3 linked regions of the Lepisosteus oculatus genome follow. The protein of the gene in region 2 interacts with the protein of the main gene of each other region in a pairwise test. Links are inferred from orthologs where the notes say so. Each region holds a gene or a part of one and is shown on either strand. Other genes may lie near its edges.

Region 1 (6,854 bases), on a different chromosome or scaffold from region 2:
TTCTATACCTCAGTCATTTATGTCATTCATCTCACACCTAAACATTTATACAAAATACCATTATATAAATATCTATTTCAATCTATATATAGTGTTTAGGTAGCACTAAACAGAATTTAAGCCTATAATGTGCCATTTTTGTGAAGCTGGTACATTAGCAATGCATGATAGCTGGCAAATGTTATTAAGCAGTATTTCCCTTTAATATCAGAGCAGCCATATTACAAATGTTACAAGTTCTGCATTCAGAACCATTCAGGCTCTGGCGAATTGAGGCAAGGGCTCTGGAGAATAAGACATTAGCAAAGAATAGCCTTCAGAAACTCAACAATATTGTTATTGGAATATATTATTAATAAATGATGGGTTTTTGGAATATTGCTTTTATAAGTAATATCTGTCAAACTGTAATTTCACCTTTCTTGAATATTTCAAGATTAATTCACACTACAAAATATAGGAAACAAGCGTATAAGTATATGGACATTCGTGCTCTGAATTTTAAAAAGCTTCAATGTGAAGACAATATACAGGTTTATTCAAAATATATCACAGGTTCAAAGAAATCCATAAAGAAAATCTTGCTCCTTGCCTACTCTCAAGAACAACAGTAACTGTTTTTTTCACCCATATGGCTTCTGCTGTAAAATCTGGCTTCTCATTTTATTGTTCAAGTAGAATGTTCATATCAGCTCACAAATAAACTTGCATTACAATACACTGCTTTAAATCTTTATTCTAATCAGACAGCTTTTGCCGATACTGTGACACTGCAATTAGGGTCAATTCTCTGGTAAAATTCTGGGAGCAATACAGCTAGTACAAAGGATGTTTTTGAGCCCTGCAATATTAAAATGATCACACATAATGGAAATGCCCAGTTTCCCACAACACTTACTACAATTGTGGAGAATTGTGGCGTTTTGGGCTTGCAGTGAGGCACAACAACAATCCCACAAACCACGCTATGTGCTTTTTTGTGTTGTAAGTCTCACATTATTGCTGTATGAGACTGCTTGTCTCGTAAAGATCACAATCTTATACTACCTCATCACATTCTCATGAAATGCCGTAGGACCTTTACAAATCAAAGAGTTCCTTTCCGGCCTTGCTCTCCTAGTTTCTAATGAGGTTTTTTCTACCTTATAATGCCTCGGAAGGATAAAAAGGCAGCCACACACACACACACTATGGACGAAAAGAGAAAAACACGACTATCTTCTAATTAAACAGCAGAGATCACTTTCCTGTTTTCTCCTGACCAGCTGGAAAGTCAGGTGCCTTATTTTACAGGTAAGTCAAGTAGTAATATGCATGACAACAAACGCCTATTAATACTACTGTTACTGTTACAGGTACTGCTAACAATACAATTAAATTAATATTTATGTTAGCAGGCACAGACAGCAGCAGACTGCCTGACAACTAAAAGCATCCGTCAGACGTTGCAGGTGGCTGCTGAAAACCCATGCAAGTGAAAAATACGACACTACCCGATATAAATCTTAAAGATATAAATATCTCATATCTATATCCATTCATAAGTTGTAGCATAACTCCAGAAATTTTGGTTCTCAACTTGTAATCTTTGACCTTTTTTCTATTACAGATTAAATTATTGTTTGTCAGCATTTATCAAAAACGTCCCAGACCACTAATTGTAAATAAAGCCACACAGAACACAAGGGAGTGTTAAATACATGATTATATTGTCAACAGCCAGATTAAATATTTGCTTGCTACATGGATTACATTGTTAATTTAAACATGTATAGAAAAAAACAACTGGTTGCAGGACAGAACCTTGAGGTACTCCTTTTATGATTAAGAATAAAGGAGTATGAAATCAAATTTTTATACACTGCAGTGGAAATAGAGGAAATCCTGAAACCAAGACATAGGTCATTAAAATGAACAAGAAAAGCTGAATAACCAAAGGCAACAAAAGTCTGTGATCAGACTAATCTTCTTTAATAAGGTCTGTCCCTCATGGTTTTCTTTTTTCAAATATATCCATCAAACAGTTGATACTTAAAAAGGCAGAATTTTACAAACTGTCAAATGATTTTCTCAACTAGGTATCGTTTAATTAACTAGAATTAACTAAAATAAAAAAACAGAAGAGAATTAGGTCCTGAGGACCAGCAGTAAGAACATCTACAATAAATAAATCTACAAACCTAGAAAAATAGGTCTGATTTTCTCATGGGTGTTTAAAATGTGACAGCAGCTGTAAGAGCACCGTGCCCATTTCCAAAACCAGACTGCGTAGCACAAACATTATCATTGCCGTCTGAGAAATAGTTTAACTGCTTAACAATTAGGCTGTGCATTAGCTTTCACAGGTATGGCAGAGCTGTCATGGACCTAAAACAGATTAGATAAGACCTGTTACCATCTTAAAAAAAAGACAAAGGTATTTAAAAGCAGAAAATAACACAGACGACAATATCTGCAGGAAACGGTTAAATTCGACCGCATCTTTACATCGTTTTAGGACCTACTTTAAATAAAATACTTCCGCTTCTGTGAGAGGTAAAAAACCCAGCCTAAAACAACTTGGCGAGGAATAGAATCATCTCAGGTGCAAATAAATCAGAACCAGCACAATGAATAATTAAGATATTAAGTTAAAAAGTAAATAGTTGATCAATTAACTTATTTTTTGTCACCAATGTAATGCATTATCAGCGATTTAAAATTGTCCACTCCTGGTGGGAAAACATTCAGGATCAACTGTACATGTCACATGTCAGTTTTACCTGGCACTCTTTTAGTGCCGAGAAGTCCTGATTAAGCTTGGAGCTATGCTATACTTTTTTTCCATTAAAAGCTATGGAATGTTCCTTAAGAGCATGAAAACAACAATTTTCCTAACAGCATCTTCAATGTCCTAAAGATATTTGATTTCATTACCTCAGGGTTATATCTGCCTCGCCAGCATTATGAAATAAGCCAATAGCATACTGTACCTTTGACTCCCAAGAAGTTTGCAAGAGGAAAAATATGGATTACATTTGAGGTACACATTACCATGTCAAACATCAAATATGCTGTATTTACTACCTATTATTTGTTGCACTTGAGGGGTACAGGAGGAGGGTGGAGCAGAACAGGTAGAGGGATCAGGAATTTCTTTATTATGGCTTGTACGTCTTTCTTAATTAATATTGCTGTTAACATTTTCAACAAAGAGTTAATTCCACATTTTTTGTACAATAAAAGGCTCACTAACTCCCTTTAACCAACATATTATACCTTTCCTCAAAAAGATTTCCATTAAGCCAAAAATGCCATTTTGTCATTTATGCTGACAGGAAAAAGTCTGCATTGTCCACCTCTTTTGTTTTTTGTTCTCAAGATTCATTCAATACTGACTGCTCAGGTTACTGAAAATACATTGACAGGAATACCAGCATGTCTTAACTGCTCTCCGCAAACTGACTTTTTACATAACACATTCCGGGCACAGCTCGGGAAAGCAGAAATTGACACTGAAGAATCGTAGGTAGCGATGCACAGAATCCCAACAAGCAAATAAGACAAACAGCAAGAGGAAGACATTTAAAAATATTCACCACAAAGGCCACCACAAAAAAACTGTATGGATATATTTTTAAATACACAAACCCCCTTTTGCCTTTAACATATCAGAGTCATGTTTACCAAAAAAATGAGTTTGGAAATTAGCTATGGCTCTCTGTTGCACCTATTATTCATTGTGGCCATTTTACACTGACAATTAAGCCCAAGGGCAGCATGACAACTTTAAAAGAAGTGGATCACGCTCATTATGGCTTTAACAGTTTAATTCTCTGTGATTTTTCATCTCCACAAGAGGCATTCGTAGTTCTTACAGGCTGCAACTCACCTTTCATCACTGAGAGAATGTTAATTGCCCGAAACACTGCTGCAGCACACTGGAGTAATGAAGTGATTAAATCATCCTTTTTGAATGGAGGGTTAAAAGCTCTTCTCCCCATCCCCCGCCTCCTCATCAAGCCCACCTCACAGCACAGTCGATACACCTCCTACAGCGTAGCTGTGCTGAAAGCTTAAGAAATGTAAGCAGCATTTGCATATCTCTTTCACAGCCAGCACTGCACAGCTCAGCACAGACAAACGCGCACACAGGTGCTCCAGCTTCACAAAGGGAGACGAGGCACAGCCTGACAAGGGAAAGCACATTGCTCTGGAATGGAATGGAATCTCAGAAGAATGGACAGTGAACTGAAGCACATGAATCCTGATCTGCTTCAACCAAGCAAAAGCTTTAAGAAGCTGTCGTCTTTCACCATTACCCTCAATATAGGGGGCTACCTCTATGTCACCCAAAAGCAGACTTTATCGAAATACCCGGGCTCTTTGCTGGAAGAGATCATCAGTGGAAAAAAGCCAGTTTTGCATGTGGATGCAGTCGGCAACACCTTTATTGACAGAGATGGTCCTCTCTTTCGCCACATCTTGAACTTCCTGCGCATTGGGGAGCTCCTCCTGCCCGAAGACTTTAAAGAGTTCAGCCTGTTGATTCGTGAGGCAGAGTTCTACCGGTTAGGGGAGCTTGCCGAAGCCGTGAAAGACTGCGAGCAGCAGCAGGCGACACTGAGAGAGCCAGCCTTCCTGGAGGTGACGGACAGCCACGAGCGCTCCCAGGGCCTCAAAGTCTTCTGCAGCGATTCGCATTTCATCGACAAGGTCAAGAGCCGCCTGGTGCAGGTCTCCAAAAGCAGGCTGGACGGCTTTCCCGAAGAGTTCATCGTGTCTTCCAACGTGATCCAGTTCCGGCACTTCATCAAGTCGGAGATGGGGTCACGGCTGGTGCTGAAGGAGGACAACACGTTCCTGTGCACCCTGGAGACCCTCAAGCTGGAGACTGTGATGCTGGCCCTACGAGGTGGCTACCGCCTGCTCACCAGCCTCGACAGCTCCCGTGGCTCCGTCGTGCACTGCGAGGCGCTGCACTTCGTCAAGTGACTGCGCGGCGAGGAACGCCAGCCTGCGTCGGCGAGAGCACACAGCCCCTTAGCAGGATCCCTTCTTAACTCGCAGATTCTGCTTCAGATGTTGTTCATCGCTACCAACGAGCTGTCTTCACACCACAGTTCGGGATGACATGGAATTGGTGTGCATTTCTGTCTCTGTTTCATTTCTTTCACATCACCCAAGGCTTTCAGTTGCTGGTATCTTAGTGAATGACGCTGTTTTGTGCTACATCAGGCTGTTCAACGACTTGGATTAACTATCTCCTTGCCAGGCATACACCGTACTTCTTCCAATTATGGCAGAACAGAACGAGTAAATGATTCAAGGATTGTCCTATACTTCTTATCCACCACCTAAATGGCTTGATAATCATTCAATTCTCTGAAACAAGCAATGAGGTTCTTCCCTGAAGAATTAAATCATTTGGACATTTGAATGCTTTACTTAAATAGGTGTGAAATGTATCAGATCTTGTGCTGTGTAAAGAAAAAAAATGACATACTGGAAGTGTTTTGGAAGATGTCTGTAACTGCAATATGAAGTTATATTTGCCATATCAAAATGTTGTTACATATCTGAAGTAATGCAAATGCTGTATTAGATAGAATGAACGATTTTGTTTTTCGTGAAATTATAGATTATTGCATGCAAAAAGCTCATTTATGATTTGTATCTAAAGCTTACTGTTTATGTTGTTTGTTACACTGAACTTCAAAATTGATATTAATCTGTGTAGAGATCAGTTAACTTATAATGAAAAAGTGACAGTCACATCAATTAATTAAAACATCTCCTATTCAAGAAACGCCAGGTAAAATTTTTTAGAAATTGAGGAATGCAGGATGTATTAATACCATGGAGTACCAATACACTGGCTTCTACAAAGTGTTAAAAGCATTTTTGAAGTTGTTCAGGCAGATGCTGGGATGGGTTATTCATCTGGGTTTTCAAATGTAATCAACAGTACAGACACAGGAATGAAACGGATTACATTTTCATCTAATTATCATTTCTGCTCTCATGAGCCTGAAAAAAAATATTTTAACTTTTTTATATGATCATTAGAGCCGGCTGGATCTTTTGAGGGACCAATCAGTTTTTCCAGGTGGTTTTTTTTTTCTTCTTTAGAAGGAATGTGTTTGTAAGGATAAAGAAAAAATGCATTTCTGAGGTTAGTTCTGCATAATTATAGTTACTTGCCAGAAGTGTACCTTACTTTACAATAAAGCTGTACATGGCTCCCTGCAGCTCTAACGAGATCATTACCAAGTTAAACTGGAAAATGAAAATGTTCTTTTGTGTAAGCCTACAATGAAGAATAAATATCTGTCAAAGCAGATCTTAAAATAGACTGTCATTACTGTACTGTCCTCCTACCAAATTCCTACATAGTTTGCATTTTAGACAGCTTTTTACTGTACTTGAAGAAATGATAAAACTGAAATTACCGCAAGTATAAAAGTAATAACTGCTGGCTACTGTACAGTGCTTTAACCATGAAGAAGCCCCAAAGGCTTCACAGATCCTCTTCATCCACCCCTGCGGTGCAGTGCCCACCTGACGTGAGGCGGCTGACGTGCGGTGGCCGTTATGTGCCAGCAGCTCCACGACTTCACCAGAAGAAATGAGGGAGAGCCTGAGGCAGGCCAGGCTGAACGAGTGCACAATTTAGCCATGCACTCCTGCTCTTACAAATACTGCAAAAACATTTTGCTGCAGCGAAGTTTTAATGAGCAAGCAGCCACTACCCCGCAAAGGATGGTGCCTCCTACAGTACGGCGGCCCCCGGTCTCCATACGGGGGCACTGGTTTGAGACAATTCATGTCCAGAGGGAGCAACTACACCAATTAAAGCAGCAAACAGGTTTTCC
Region 2 (6,893 bases):
CTGCAAAGGTGGAGAGGGGGTGGAGGAGGGATGCAGAAAACGAACGAGGAAGAGGAGAGGGTGACGTTTGATATTTATGGAGACCGGTTGCTTATGTCAGGATTAGTGAGAATTGCAGCAGCTGTGTCGAATGAGCGCGGCTGCCTTCATTCCTCCCGAACTTTCATTAAAAACTCCATTTAACGAAAAAGAAACATTCTTTTACACAAGTGTGGATGATTGTGATGTTGCACTTATCACACTAGGATAGTCTGAAGACCAGATCACTTAAAATGATGTGGATCAAATACCTTGAACAGCCTTTTGGGGGTAATGGGGAAGTTCACATTCTAGACTGTTCTTCTAATGTGTGCAGTTTGATGTGATGTAAATGAACCATACCTTCTTATCAAAGGCGACATGTGCAGGGATAAAGTCCACAGGGGGCGAGGGGCGAGACTGTCCATAGATCAGAGTAGGATACAAGGTGGCCAGCTGGTTGAGCTCAGATTGGGAGATCTGATTGGAAAGAAGGGGATCCTGTCCAATGCCCACCCTTGGGCGCCGTGGCAAAGCATAGCCATTCTTATAGTCCAGCGTCTGCGACCGGTGGAATGATGACTTCTAGAAGAAAGAAGCACAACAGAGTTATAAAGATGTATTTTTCAATAGTTCTTTTGAGTTTTGAAGTTGACAACTGTTTCTTTTCGTGTCACCTCATTCCAAGAACTCCTTTCAATGCAAGGGGAGAATGAATGAGCTTATGTTTTGGTTGAACACTCAGGGGTTCTGCAAGTGTCATTCTGAAAAGTCTTTAAGACTAAGAAATCCAAACTTGGTTCAATGTGCTCTTTGGCCATTGACGGTAATAAAATATTCATCTTTGTCCTAAGCAGACTAAATGTCTTTTTAAGAGTTCTTTGTCTTGTCTTTATCACTCTACCAATCCTGGAGGTATTGAAACAAAACTTCAACCTCCCGTATCTGCCAACAAATAGAAAATAAATACAGTCCTTCAATGCAGTTTTTTTTCTGCTCAATAGTAACCTGCCATCAAATACTAGTCAGAGAATAAGTTGTGCTCTTCATTGTGCTATTTATTGGCTTTTACTTACAATGTTCAACTGTGAAAAAAATGTAGTTCAATGTGTGTCATCAACTAGTTGTTGAAATGTTTTCTTGCTATTTGCTTCTAGCAAGAGTGAGAGCTTTTACGTTGGTGGGTTTGCTAAAACCCACAGCCTCCTTTTGATTCATCTTTAACATTTGACAGGAATGAAGATCACTGAATGACAAACAAAAGCAACCATCAGTCAGATGAGACTACAGCTGCTGTGGAGCATCACAGTCTGTGATGTCTGAGGCCCGTCAGTTCTGGAATTGAGGTTTCTCTCTGTCATATGCAGCTTTCTAGTCCCTGAGGGTTTAGTACAGTTTATGTGTTGCGATGGGACTGAGTAGGTTAAATATCATTTTGCTGTAGTCTTCTGTTTAATGTATCATTCTAAACTTTGGTACTGTACCTGCTTTGCAAACAATACATTTTTAACAAATACACAAATCAAGGTTTGTTTTCAAAAGACTTAATATGTGCTTACTCTTTTGTACATGTTGGCATACTCCATGATATTTTAGAAGCTCTCCTGAGAACAGTGGCAAACAGAAACAGTAGAAAGGGGCTAACAAAAAGACAAGATCATGGACTGGCAGGACACTTCACAAATGAAATTTAATGCCGGCAAGTGCAAAGCGATCCACGCAGAATGCAGGAATACTCAATACAGGATACAGAGTGATTCTGAGCTGCAGGAATATTGGTTGGTATGAGGGGTCTGGGTGTTTATGTAGATTTGTATTCTTCTACATCCTCATCAAGAGGATAAAAAAGCAGAGTTCTTGGGCATCCAGCAAAAAATGTAATTTAAATCCAAGAAAACTATACCTGCTGTTCACTGAATGTTCTGGACTTACAAGTAGTTTGTCATTGTCTATGACAATGCCAATGATGCGTTTATGTTAATGAGTACTTAGCAACCTATTATATCAAGTTAAACACATAACATCAAAACAAGTGTTTTTAATGTATTATTAAAACAAGGAGAAGATAATTAGCGAAAGGCACATTTCCTGAAAAAATGTGATCTAACAAAAGTGTGACTTTCTATTTTCGAGAAGACTTCTTAAAATGCAATATACAAATAAATATAAACAAAATGTACACATACTGTATATAAACATATTTTGCAAAAACCGTTGAGCCGACTATATTACATTAATTATTGATAGGTTCAGTTAATATTAACATTATTACATACACTAACAATATTATTGAATACAATATCATTATATAGTGCTGCTGTTGTACATTTTATAGTATTTTACACTTTGTTTTAAGTTATAAACACCACATTTCGCGTTGTTTGTATATACAAAGGATAATTTGTCTTAAATTTAATTAAAATACGTTCATAACGTAGTCAAGCAAAAATACTTCACAGTTTTTTGCCCAAGTCACGACACAAACTCACAGTTCTACTTATCTATATTAAAACCTGATCACCAATAAACCGAACTCATTCCGTAACAGGGCGTGTGATGGATATGGGGGACGAGTATTTCTAAAGTGAAAAACACAAGTTTCTTCTTTCGGGTTTTTGGTAAACTGTTCAATCTTTACAGCAGAGTGACGTTTTTTATCATGGTATTGTACTGTTGCTATATTGTCTTCCTGTCATACATGCTATATGTTATGAACTCTTGTTGAGCAAGACAAATTCCCTTCGGGACAATAAAGGTTACTTCAATTCAGAGTATGATGTTATGTTGAATTATTCAATGATAATGACAGCAACTTTACCGTGGGATCCCGAAACGTGTTTCCAGGTAAAAAGGGTAGTCCTTGCGCTGGGTTTAAAGCCATCGCGTTTCACTTCCTAGCTGCAAGTGAAGAGTTTGGACTCCGTTTCCAAGCTCCACCAGTGGTACTGAGCTTTATAGTTTCTCCGAGCACATCTGAGCGCACTGGGTTTGCTTCCCATACTTAAAATGGTAACCTGGCAACCACGGAATTAACGCGGCTGCCATGGAGACGCTAAACAAAACTGTGACTGACTAAGGCAAGCAACGCCAAAAACCTTTCAAATAACCCCATAAAACGTCTGTTGTAAGGGAAAAAAGCGGATGCATCATCATATAAATGATTTTTTTATACTAATAAACTCGCTACTGTGAGATGTGTGCATTGGAATGGATTACAGAGGTGTTAAGGACTGAAGTGGAAAGGGTCAGTAACTTCAAATTCCTTGGCGTCCATATCACCGAGGACCCCACGTGGTCTCTCAACGCCACCTGTCTGATCAAAAAAGCGCAACAGCGCCTGTACTTCTGAAGACGGTTGAAGAAGGCTAAGATATGTCCCCAGATCCTCACTAACTTTTACAGATGCACTACAGAAAGCACACTGACATGTTGCATCACAGTGTGGTATGGCAACTGCAGTATTGCTGACCGCAAAGCCCTACAGCGGGTGGTGAAAACTGCCCAGTCCATCACTGGGGTTGCCCTCCCATCCATACAGGACAATTATGACAGACGGTGCTTGAGGAAACCTCTAAGCATCATCAAAGACCCCACACACCCCAGCTACAGACTGTATGACCCTCTACCATCTGGATAATGGTACCAGAGCATTCGGGCCCGGACCACCAGACTCAGAGACAGTGGTCCGGTTTTTACCCCCACACTATCAAACTATCGAACTCCCAGCCTCTATCACTTACGATCTGAACCTCACAGTGCCTTCTTACCAAAAACTCAAACACACATTGAAATCTACCTCTACCTCACATGTCAAGAAGCTCACTCCCCATCATTTTCTATTCTTTATTTTATTCTGTTGATGTATGATTTTGCAAATCCGATGTTGTTTTGCACATTACCTTTTACCTGTTGTTGTTTTGCACACCGCCTGTTGTTTCTGTCTTTTTCTTATACAATTGTATTGTTGTTTTTTTGTACAACTTATCCTATGAGAGCTAGCTAAATAGCATTTCATTATACCATATACCTGTTTATGAGTATAATGACAATGAACTTGAACTTAAACTTAAGAGAAAAGTCATAATGTAATTTGCTATGAACACCTTTGGTTTATGAGACCATGATATAAATGTAGCATTCTGAGAAAGTGGTCCCCAAATTAAGTTTAGCTACTTTTTCATAAATAAATCTAAATATTAACCACTGCAATGTAATAGGTAGGAACTAGAGATCTAACAGAACCCCTTGAGCTTTCCCTTCAAAACTTATTGGCAGTAGTATAGCCTTCTCCTCCTCTGACCTTGTGTGGTTGTGTCCCTCAGTCAAGGTCCCTGGCTTCAAGCTAAACATTCCAGCCCCTCTGATAGGTCCTGTGTGCATTGAGAACAGCAGTTCTTTTGGGATCTATGTGTCCAATGACTTAGGTTGTCTTTAATTTGGAAGTCTAAAGCAAGCTCCACTATCATGGTCCCACCTAAGACTCCTGTCAAACAGGGAAGCTGGCTGTCCTGGTTCAGCTCTAGTGTGAATCAGAGCCATACACCTGCGAGAGGAAAGCAATCCTGAAAGTAGGCACCCTTATCCTAATTCATCCACGAATCTGCCAAATAGTTTGTCTGTATTCTTCCTGACATCCATGTTTGCCTTTTGGGACTGAGGTGATGGGAATCCCACTTACAACACAGCAGTCATCCTCTTTTCCCTTAAAGTGTGTAATTGAGTGGAGAAGGAACAGGCAGGACATCTCAGGGGTGCAAACTCAAGTTGCTTCTCTTTTAATTATTAACAGGTGTGGTGCACTAGTGAGATCCCTTTATATAGTGAGAGAAGTAGGAAAAAGTGAACATGTGTGACAGAACGTTTAAGGAATTAGTGCTGGTAGTCCATCCCGAGGGGCAGAATACTAAAATATGTAATGTTTTACCTTTTTAAAGAGGGAAGTTGCTTTTAGAAAGTAATGTATTCCTTTACATAGTGGCTATACTCATTCTAAAGAGATCATTCTTTACTACTATCTATTCCCTTACACAAGTAACTTTTAATTGAAATGTATTACTTTTTAAAAGTACCCTTTTCCTCAACACCGAACAGCACACCCCCAGACATGGTGAGACATACAGTACATAGAGAAGTTCATATATGAATGCTTATCCTACCTTACCGTCGAGCTCTTGCACCAACTAATTTTCCATTCAGACCACAGAAGGAGGTTCTCCGAGATCAGAGCGTCAGGGAAGACAACCAGATCCAAGTAATGGTGCAAGAAAGACTCGGGCGCAGCTAACATCCTTTTGTTATGAGGGCATCCATTCTCTTGTAAAATGGTGGCAGAAGCATGTGGATATGGAAGATTAATAAAAACTCTCTTACTTCCTCCTTGCAAATTTTAAAACCTGTGCGTTATTGGAAATGGTAAGATTTTTTATACAATACTTTGCTGAAGCTTTTCTTCATCATCATCAACATTATTTTGGCTGGTGCCTTTCCAGTCCATACTTCTGAGCTCTAACCACGACTCCACATTGCAGGCTTTTACTTATTAAATATACTTATTTAATATTTAAAATACATGGAAATACTGTACATTAAAAATTGTTTTTTTTTAATGTAGAAATTACAACATAATTTATAATGTGCTACAAAAAAAAATGCAAACATTGGTATTTAAGCCATTTCAAATTATCAAACATAGCTAGGAATCAAGAGGTTACATCTAATTTTATTTTTTTTACATTTTTCACAGCTGACCTGGGGACTATCCTTTACTGCAATATCATCTAAATATTTAATCAGTGTTGGGTGACAGGAAAAAAAAGACAAAATTTAGGACTATAAAGTAATTTAATAGTAAACTTGCAGAGACACCACAAACACTTAAATTGTATACAAGACAGCATACAAAAAGAACATTAGACTGATTCTACAGTGATAATGTTTTAAAACATTAGCAATATCAGGCATACAGTACAAAAAATATAGTGGCATTTAAAAACTAGGGGTGGGTGAACAAATACTTAAGTATCTGATACTTTTGGTATCATTTATTTTCTGTTATTGGTATATTTTCACCAAAATATCAACTTTGACTTATTTTTAGCACATTCTGACAAAATGAATGACCATTTTTAAGTATGAAGGAAACTGTGTAAAACTGCTCATACCAAAGTTCATGTTTTATGTTGACTGAAAAGTAGAACAGCATTTATTGAAATTCAGAAATCAGGATCAAAAGGAATACCTTGGCCAACCAAGTGAAGGTACGCTAGTACAGTGCGCAACATTACTGTAAAAAAACATTTACAATTATTTTTTAACAAGAAATTAAAACCAGTTGCAATTTTTGTAAATGCAAAGTGCATAAAAATAGAAATACTGGTAATTTGTTTAAGCACCTTAAAATTAAGCATCCAACTAGATATGCTAACACTGCACAACAAGTTGGCACGAGAAAAAGACGATTTCGCTGCTGCAATGTCTTTGACACAGACATCTTTACAAGACTCATTCCAGAAACAGATCCCCAAAACACCATACAGATAAAACAGGTCAAGTCTCATTGGTTTAAATGACACACAGCAACGCATTGGCACTGTAGAGGTATACTAATACAGTACATACTGTGGTTTTTGTCCAGAGTGACAAATCATTACTTAAATGTGTCACTTCTCCCAAAGAGATTCTATTGCTAGAATTACAAAAATTCTATTGCTAGAATTACAACCTAACTTTTTTACTTGTCAAGTTTTTGTTCTACATTGCTAGGCCAATGTAAATCAGGTAATGACTCTGTCCTCTGTGACTGATTTTATGATGAATTTATAGATATCTAATAATAGATTGTTCTCCTAAATGGTTTTTACCTAGACTTTATATGG
Region 3 (7,922 bases), on a different chromosome or scaffold from region 2:
AGCTGCCAGACATGTCAGGCATAAATCTGCATGTTGCCAACCCGTTTTACAAGCAGAATAAACACCTGATCAGCTGATTCTCATGTTTTCGTTACTGACTCCCACTTAAAACGTTTAACCAAAAATTGATGTTGGATGTTGGTTCACATGCTGTAAGGTTTTAAATTAATCTTCCATCCATCCATCTTCGAAACTGCTTTATATCCAGTAGCGGGTCATAGAGGGAGCTGGAACTGAATCCAGCAAGCCACGGAAGAAAAACATGATACACCCTGATTGGGACGCCAGGCACACACAGACACATACACACTCACAAAAGAGCAAATTTTCCCAGAAGCCAATTCATCTACCAGTATGTCTTTGGACTATGGGAGGAAACCGGAGCACCCAGAGAAAACCCAGACAAACACAGGGAGAACATACGAACTCCATGCCGATAGCATCCTCAGAATGAGCCCAGGGCCCCAAGTGCTGCAAGGTAGCCATGCAAAATACCGCACCAAGGTGCTGGCCTGCCTTGCCACATCTTTGTCCTAAATGAAAATACGAAACAACATTCCGGTTGTGACTGAGCCACAATCCTTTTAAGCACTCGCTTCTCTCCATTCCAGTGAACTGCATCTCCTGTTAGACTTCAAATGATGATTTGTTGTGAGAAGCGAAGAAACTCATTATACAGACTTCTCTCTTGATAGCACACTTGCTTTCAGCTTTCTTATGAATCCTCTGTACAAAAACTGCAAACAAGATCCTTTAGCCAAGTTTAATTCTACAAAATATAATTAAGCATCGGAAAGTGAAAACTGTACGCGAGTTCAAGTTTTAGTCTGGGCAATGCAGCACCAACAAACACACAAAAATAGCTTGTGAGGTATTATCTCATTATTCAGATTCAGATTTTTTTTTCTCTGCTTGGATAATTGAATTTGATACTAGCTAAAGCTGCCACGTCGGCTTTGCCCACTTGACATCCCCTAGGAGTCTGACGTTGTTTCCTCCTCTTCCGCTTTTTTTTCATCAATTTGCTTGATGGCACGCAAATCAGAGCAAGATAACTTTGAAGCCCCTTCTCTTGCATTTTAATTGCCAGGCAAACCCACATCTTTTGTTAAACCAGTTTCAGCAGATTCGGCATCACTTGGGATGCATCTTCCACAGTCCTTCTGCTGCACCAGCGGCAGACAGGAAAACACTTCCCGGCCTCTCACTTCTGAAATGAAGTGACTCTACAGACACTTCTGCTCCTGTACCTGTAACCTACAGTACGACTCGTTCCGTGGAAACAAAGAAGCACTCTGGAGATTCTGATCAGTTAAAAGAATAAAACAAACAGCACCACAGTAGTCACCTGACAAAGCTGCTGATTATTTTCTCCACTTCGCAGACAGGTGCAGAGGCTGGGGCCAGATTGCTCAGTCTGATGTTAGTCCTATAGGCTCAGCTTTATTACTGTATGTAGGCCGACAACCTTATGGTATATGATGCTGGATGTCTGTCACAGTCACCACAGAAGCATAGCCACCATTGGGTTGACACAAGGCAGCCTTTATGCAGCAAGCAGCCCCAGTGCATGGAGGATCGCTAGCAGAAATGCAAAACCGCACCTTTTATTAAGGTTGAAATTGAAGGAGGTCAGCCTGCAAAAGGACAACATGAAATTCAGTCAGGACTGAAACTTTGATTCTTTTCAAAAGTGCCACGGGATCTTTAATGACTTCAGGTTAACATCATGTCCAAGCAGTGACACCTCCTAAAGCTTTTGTTTTGGGGTGGGGGGAATTCTTGTCCACAGGGAATACTGCCACCTACTGGTCCACTATCACCACTTGCGGCAGCACTGGTCTGCCCTCACAGTGCTGCTAGGATGGTTATCCTGAAACCACACAATAAAAGATGTACAAGTAGCTGCTTTCCTTATTACAATTTAAATACTTGTTTCTTTAAATAAAACACTGTTCCAGAATAGGTGTGTATACTGTATATTAGGACAACTGATTTTAAAGTTAAGCATACTGTAACAATAATCTTGCTGCTGCTTAAGTTATAACAATTGTCCACTTCTACATTTCAGACCTTTATGACCTATAGTTTCACACTGGAGATCACGTGAAGAATGGCACCACTGTATTTAATCTGTACCTCATCAAACAGGACTTAAGCCAAATATATACTGCACAGGGTCATAGTCACAAAGCACTTAGTGGAAGCTGATCACTTGGTATACAATAGTTACAACTACGGGTGGTTGAAAGTAAATTTAGAAATGAAATACTGAACTTAAGAAATACTGACAAGTTTTTGAAGCTGTGAAAACCAATTGTATATTTTACATTACATTATTCAGAAAAATATCTATTATTGGTTTCACATATAATTTAAAAGTTCTTATTGTATAATCGCTGCTTGATAGCTTCAAAATACCCAAAAGATGGTACAAGATGAAAATGAGCGAAATCCGTTTAAACGAAATGGGAATCATATGATCGAGAGCAGTTCCCCCTCTGCTAAGGAGAGACAGAAATCCACTACAAGGAACAAGATCAAGAAACTGCTACGAGAAGCTGGTACAAATACGGTACAGCCCTCCGCTTTAAGATACTGTAACGATTAAATATAACTGCCAGCGATCTATCTTTGAGAGTGACTATACAGTACATAAGAAAAATGTGCCAGTGATATCATTTCAGACACGCTTTTACACATACTGTGCTTGTGACGATTTGATCAAATTCAAATAACCTCTTCATAATTAGAAAACAATTATACACAGCTACTGTACACACTAACTATGACTCTGAGTACGATACTAAAAGATATGTATTACGCATGGACTTTGGCCTGTTTGGAAAATTGTAAGCAGTTGTCACAACGATCCACAATAAGGAAAACTGGTCAAGTGTTATGTCTGTTTCAGAGCAAAGAGTCGGTTCTAACCTGGCAGAGTGAACGATTTGTTGAAGAGCTGGTACAGGAGAACCTTAAAGCCGATATAATACACCTTCAACACTGAGAGAACCACCGAACACAGCGACATGTCTGCATTGATCGCTCTCCAGCCGCCTGTTACTGCGTGCCCCGTCCTTTTCTGTCCGGAGTCCGCCTTCGGCAGCAGCGCTGACACCCCACCCCGCGGAAACTTGTGCTTCTCACACCACAGTTCCGCCGTCGGATCTGCATACAGCACAATGACCAAGCCGTGCTAAAATTAGTATGTAGCTTGCAACAATCTCATGCGCCCACCCGAAGACCGCTCATAATCACTTAACCACGGGTATATTCATTATTTATCATTTATATTTTATTTAAGAAAAACAAAATCGTCCAGAATTTTAGGCTTAAATACAAATAACTTCAACAAACTAAAATATAATTAATCATTTTTACTATAGTTTACCAGTCATGTGGAAATATTTTAAAATCTAAATACTGAGTAGTGTACCTTATTATATGCTCTGCTGGTATCTGTTACTGCTGCTGCCTGTTCAAAGGAATCTATCAAGCTAAATGCATATTTTTCAAACCCAGATTACCTAGAAAACTGATATCTTATAGTTACTTCTCTAGCTATTTTTTCACAATAAGATAATATCACTTTATTAGCCATATACAATTGCTTGCATCAGGAATTCATCTTTTCACATACCCCATTTTGTTCTCCATGAGACACAGACAGGGAGAGAAGCTTAGGGTCAGAGCACAGGGTCAGCCATTGTACAGCAACCCTGGAGCAGTTGGGGTTAAGGGTGTTGCACAGGAGCCCAACAGAGTAGGATTCCTCTGCCAGCTGCAGGATTTGAACTGGCAACCTTCCAGCCACAGTGCCCCTGCTCCACCCAATAACTGATATGGTTAATGGAAGTAAGACTTCAGTATTTATGTATAGCTGATAATTAAAATTTCTAGTTACTGCTAATTGTAATAACTTACCTGTAATCAATTTGAATAAATTTGTATTAACACTAAAAATATTTCATGAAGTGAATCTACGTACAATTGGTAACACCTGGCTGTGCCAACATTTCCAGCTCCAAAGCAAGGTGGTGTTTACCGAGATGGAAGGGTCTCAGATTCAGTGATCAAAGCAACCCACTGAAACTAAGCAGGTGTGAGCCTGATCAGTACCTGGATGGGAGACCACCTGGGAAAGCTAAGGTTGCTGCTGGAACAGGTATTAGTGGAGTTATTAGGGGGTGCTCACCCTACAGGCTGTGTGGCCCCTAATGCCCCAGTATAGTTATAGGGACAGTATAGTGCAAAAAGGTGCTGTCCTTTGGATGAGATGTAAAACTGAGGTCCTGACTCTCTGTGGTCATTAAAAATCCCACTAGCATCTCTTCCAACAGCAACCTCAGCTTTCCCACCAGGTCTCCCAGCCACATACTAGACAGGCTCACACCTGCTGAGCTTCAGTGGGCTACCAGTTTGAGTTGTAAGGTGATATGGCTGCTGGCTATATCTTATTATTAAGATTAATTTAAATGTTTATTACTGAATCCAACAGACTTTCTTAAAAGAAAACACACCTTTGATTTAAGCTCCATTTAAAAGAGATGATTATATCAGAAATGTGTTACAGAAAACAGTACAACACAACAGTTAGTCTGCATTCCAGAAGAATAAAACCCTACAGGCATTAATCACGTAGGCAGTGTTTGGGTTTTGTGTGGCCACTGGTCTTCTGCATAGGGAGATCCTGTCACTTTTGAAATTTAATTTGTGACATTGACACCTTGTATTAACTGAATTCACATTGTTACAGTGCAGGTAGACTAAAGTGAAATTGTGATTTCTGAGCAATTGCTTCTTTAAAGATAATGAACACTTTCTGCGGTGTGAAAAATGTGAACATTTTTTTATGGTCAGTTTGCATGATGCAAAAAGAAAAATCAAAATATTAACATCGCATGGTGATATAGCAGCTGGCTTATGATTTGTGTATGTATGTGTAGTGTTAAATGAATTGCTTTGCTTTAAAAAATACTCTATCCAGAAAACATCGAGATGTTACAAGAACACCATAAAATTCCAAATTTTATATACTGAATACCTTCAAAATTGGCTATGGATACATATTCTCTGTAATGGTGAAGTCCACTGCAGATTCTGGATCAGTCCAGTTGTCTCTTTGGGACTTAAATAATATTACGTCAGAACTACAGGGATTCCATGCAGTTTTTGTGCTTAGTTTGATTTGCGCAAAACATAAATCTGTTCCTAAAGCAACACAACCTATTTTTAGTTAAAATAATAAACATTTCCCTTTGCTATAGATGAAAAGGAAGGTATGATTTGCATTTTATATTATTATTATTATTATTATTATTATTATTATTATTATTATTATTATTATTATTATTATTGCCGTTGTTGTTGTATTAGATGGAGTGGTGTCCTATCCAAGGTGAATCCTGCTTTGTGCCTGTTGCTTGCTGGGATAGGGTCCAGCTCTCCCGGAACCCTGAATTGGATGAAGCGATTAGAAAATGGATGGATGGAATAATAATTATTATTATTCAAAGTAATGATAGAGAATAGAGGACTATAATTCCTGCCAAGGGTGTAAGAGGTAAGACATCTGGTGCAAGACCCAGTAATCAACATGGTCTGGCTCATTAAAACTTTACAAAAAGATACAGTACATTCATCCATTCGCCAATTAAATGATTTTCTAAAAAAATAGCCCGACAAAGATCCTTCACAGGGGTTTAGTTGAAGCGAGTGCTTGTCTTCCACTTACGCCAAATGTAATGAAGAAGTTAAAACTGCTGTCAATAGACTTATAGGATGAAAAACATCCCTCTAGACAGCTACTGATCTGTGTTCAGTTCTGGCATTGGGAAGAGACAGGTGTCTGACAGAGGAAGGTGACAGCTGTGGGACCTGTCACAGCTGACAATGAATGCAGGTAGTGATGAGCTGAATCACTCAGGACAGCGCCAAAGCATTTGGCATGAGAGATGACAGCGTGGTTACTATTTTTAAAGAAATACACACCTGATTGTATAACAACAGGGTTTAACCATAAGTCTAAACAAGAGCTCCAATCCATTGTTTATCAGCCTTTTATCTATGGCTTTATTTTAAAATGTCATACAATGGTTAAATTCTGTTCCTCTTTGCGAATGCTTTGAGTTCAATCCGCAGGTCAAGTTGTCTGTTAATAGAAATTGCTATTAGCACAGAAATATGGTGCAGGAATTCAAACAGAGTTTACACTGATGTTGTCTCTTCTAAATTATGTAGTATGCAGTACTACAGATATATACAAGAATTATGTTTGGATTTGATTTGAGTTAAATCCCCTTACTTGAATATATTATATGAATTTGCTTAAATAGACCATTCAAGATGCTTTTTTAGTATTACAGAATTAGTTTCTTAATGTTATTTTTTGTGGTAAACATTATGCAACAGGTGTGTTTTTATGCTATAATCTAATCAACACTGCACAAGAAAAATCTTTAAGCAAGTCAACCTCTGTTAGCCAAGCAGTCTAAGGAGACACTTGATGTAAAAGGCACTTTTATATCAACATCAAAAGCCTGTTAATAAAGACATTTTTTATTTTACGCAGATTTTCCCACCATTCCTTCCTTACAAATAATTATTGGCTTTGTGTCCAGTGAAGAGACATCACATTCACCAGCTGTAAATCAAATTAGAATTAGCCTTAGAGTTGAATTAGCCAACAGAAACAGACAGACACTTATCAGTTCATTTTTTCCTGCTTTGTTATGCTATTCTGATATCATGTTCCTTTTTGTACAGGACATTTAATGAAACAATTAGCTGTCTGCTTGTGACATGATTTTACTATTTCATTTAAACGGCTCCTGGAAACTGTCACTGTCACCTTTTAACCTTGGAGTTGGTTAGAAAATGAATGAACATCATCTAAAGAAGATCCCGAATCTACATAAACAATGGATTAGAGCTCTTCTTTAAAAAAAACAAGAAATACAGTACAGTACAGTTAAGACATCATAGAATGTACTGTACTTCACTTAGTGAATTCTACTAATTTACTAATCCACCTCACTGTGCAACAGAGGCTCAGTCACCTTAGAAAAACATTTCAGCTTCATTGTGTTTACGTGATAGTAAGTTACAAGTAAAATTGAAAAGGAAAAAGTTAAAACTGGTTTCCTTTTCTGGCCCATAACAGTATTGTAAATATGCCTGTTGGACGAGTACCCAAATCCTTATTGAGTAATAGTGGATAATGGATCTTCTTCAGCTTGCATCATTGGACAGGGGAAGAGTTGAATTTCACTTAATGCTACTTCATTTTTTCTGTTTCAGCTCACATCACTAAGATCACTTAAACTTTAAAAGTCAGAGTGCAGAGCATTTGCAAGTGCTGACAGAGGAATTTAACAAAAAAGGAAAGAATAATGTTCAAAATCACAGATACTTGACGTTATAATCATTGAATTATATTCTCTCTTTTGTTTCATCAACTGTTTTTTAAAATATTTTTACATTTTAGCAAGGAAGTGGTTATATGCAGACCATGTTTCATAAACAATATTTGTACAAATTAAAACCCTCTATGAATCACTAATCTGAAATAATTTCCCATATATTTTTTAAATCAACAAAACATCAACATCAACAATTCAGCCAGTAAAATATGGTCCTTTGAGTAACTAAATAACACGGATCTGAACTTAATCTCTGTGAAAACTCTAAATCTACTCAAAATATATATTATTAAATTATGTTTTAGAAGCTATTGGGGATGACCATTGGAAAAACTTTATGTAATATTTAAACGGTGTGTCCACTTCAGTATCAAAATTGTAACATACTGTACAGTACACCTTTAGCACTAATAATATTTTAAGAGATTTCAAGGTCCTTCAGTTCAAATAATAGTCAAATGCTTATATGTATCTATTCTAAAACACTAAGTAAAATAT

Evidence for each region.
Region 1: the proteins of efhc1 (region 2) and kctd4 interact in binary tests that used the Homo sapiens proteins (3 or more experiments, as listed by UniProt). The two-hybrid records come from large-scale screens. The link is inferred for Lepisosteus oculatus from reciprocal best matches to the Homo sapiens genes EFHC1 and KCTD4.
Region 3: the proteins of efhc1 (region 2) and E3 SUMO-protein ligase ZBED1 interact in binary tests that used the Homo sapiens proteins (3 or more experiments, as listed by UniProt). The two-hybrid records come from large-scale screens. The link is inferred for Lepisosteus oculatus from reciprocal best matches to the Homo sapiens genes EFHC1 and ZBED1.

The regions. Positions count from the first base shown.
Region 1 is NC_090710.1:16,187,195-16,194,048, forward strand, and holds kctd4 (BTB/POZ domain-containing protein KCTD4), read left to right. Parts: upstream 1-3,990; 5' UTR 3,991-4,197; coding exon 4,198-4,974; 3' UTR 4,975-6,330; downstream 6,331-6,854.
Region 2 is NC_090697.1:20,736,308-20,743,200, reverse strand, and holds the start of efhc1 (EF-hand domain-containing protein 1), read right to left. Parts: upstream 3,021-6,893; 5' UTR 2,900-3,020; coding exon 2,837-2,899; intron 604-2,836; coding exon 382-603; intron 1-381. UniProt on the Homo sapiens protein: Microtubule inner protein (MIP) part of the dynein-decorated doublet microtubules (DMTs) in cilia axoneme, which is required for motile cilia beating.
Region 3 is NC_090708.1:23,796,451-23,804,372, reverse strand, and holds the start of E3 SUMO-protein ligase ZBED1, read right to left. Parts: upstream 2,935-7,922; intron 1,638-2,934; 5' UTR 1,605-1,637; intron 1,587-1,604; exon of another isoform or gene 1,349-1,586; intron 1-1,348.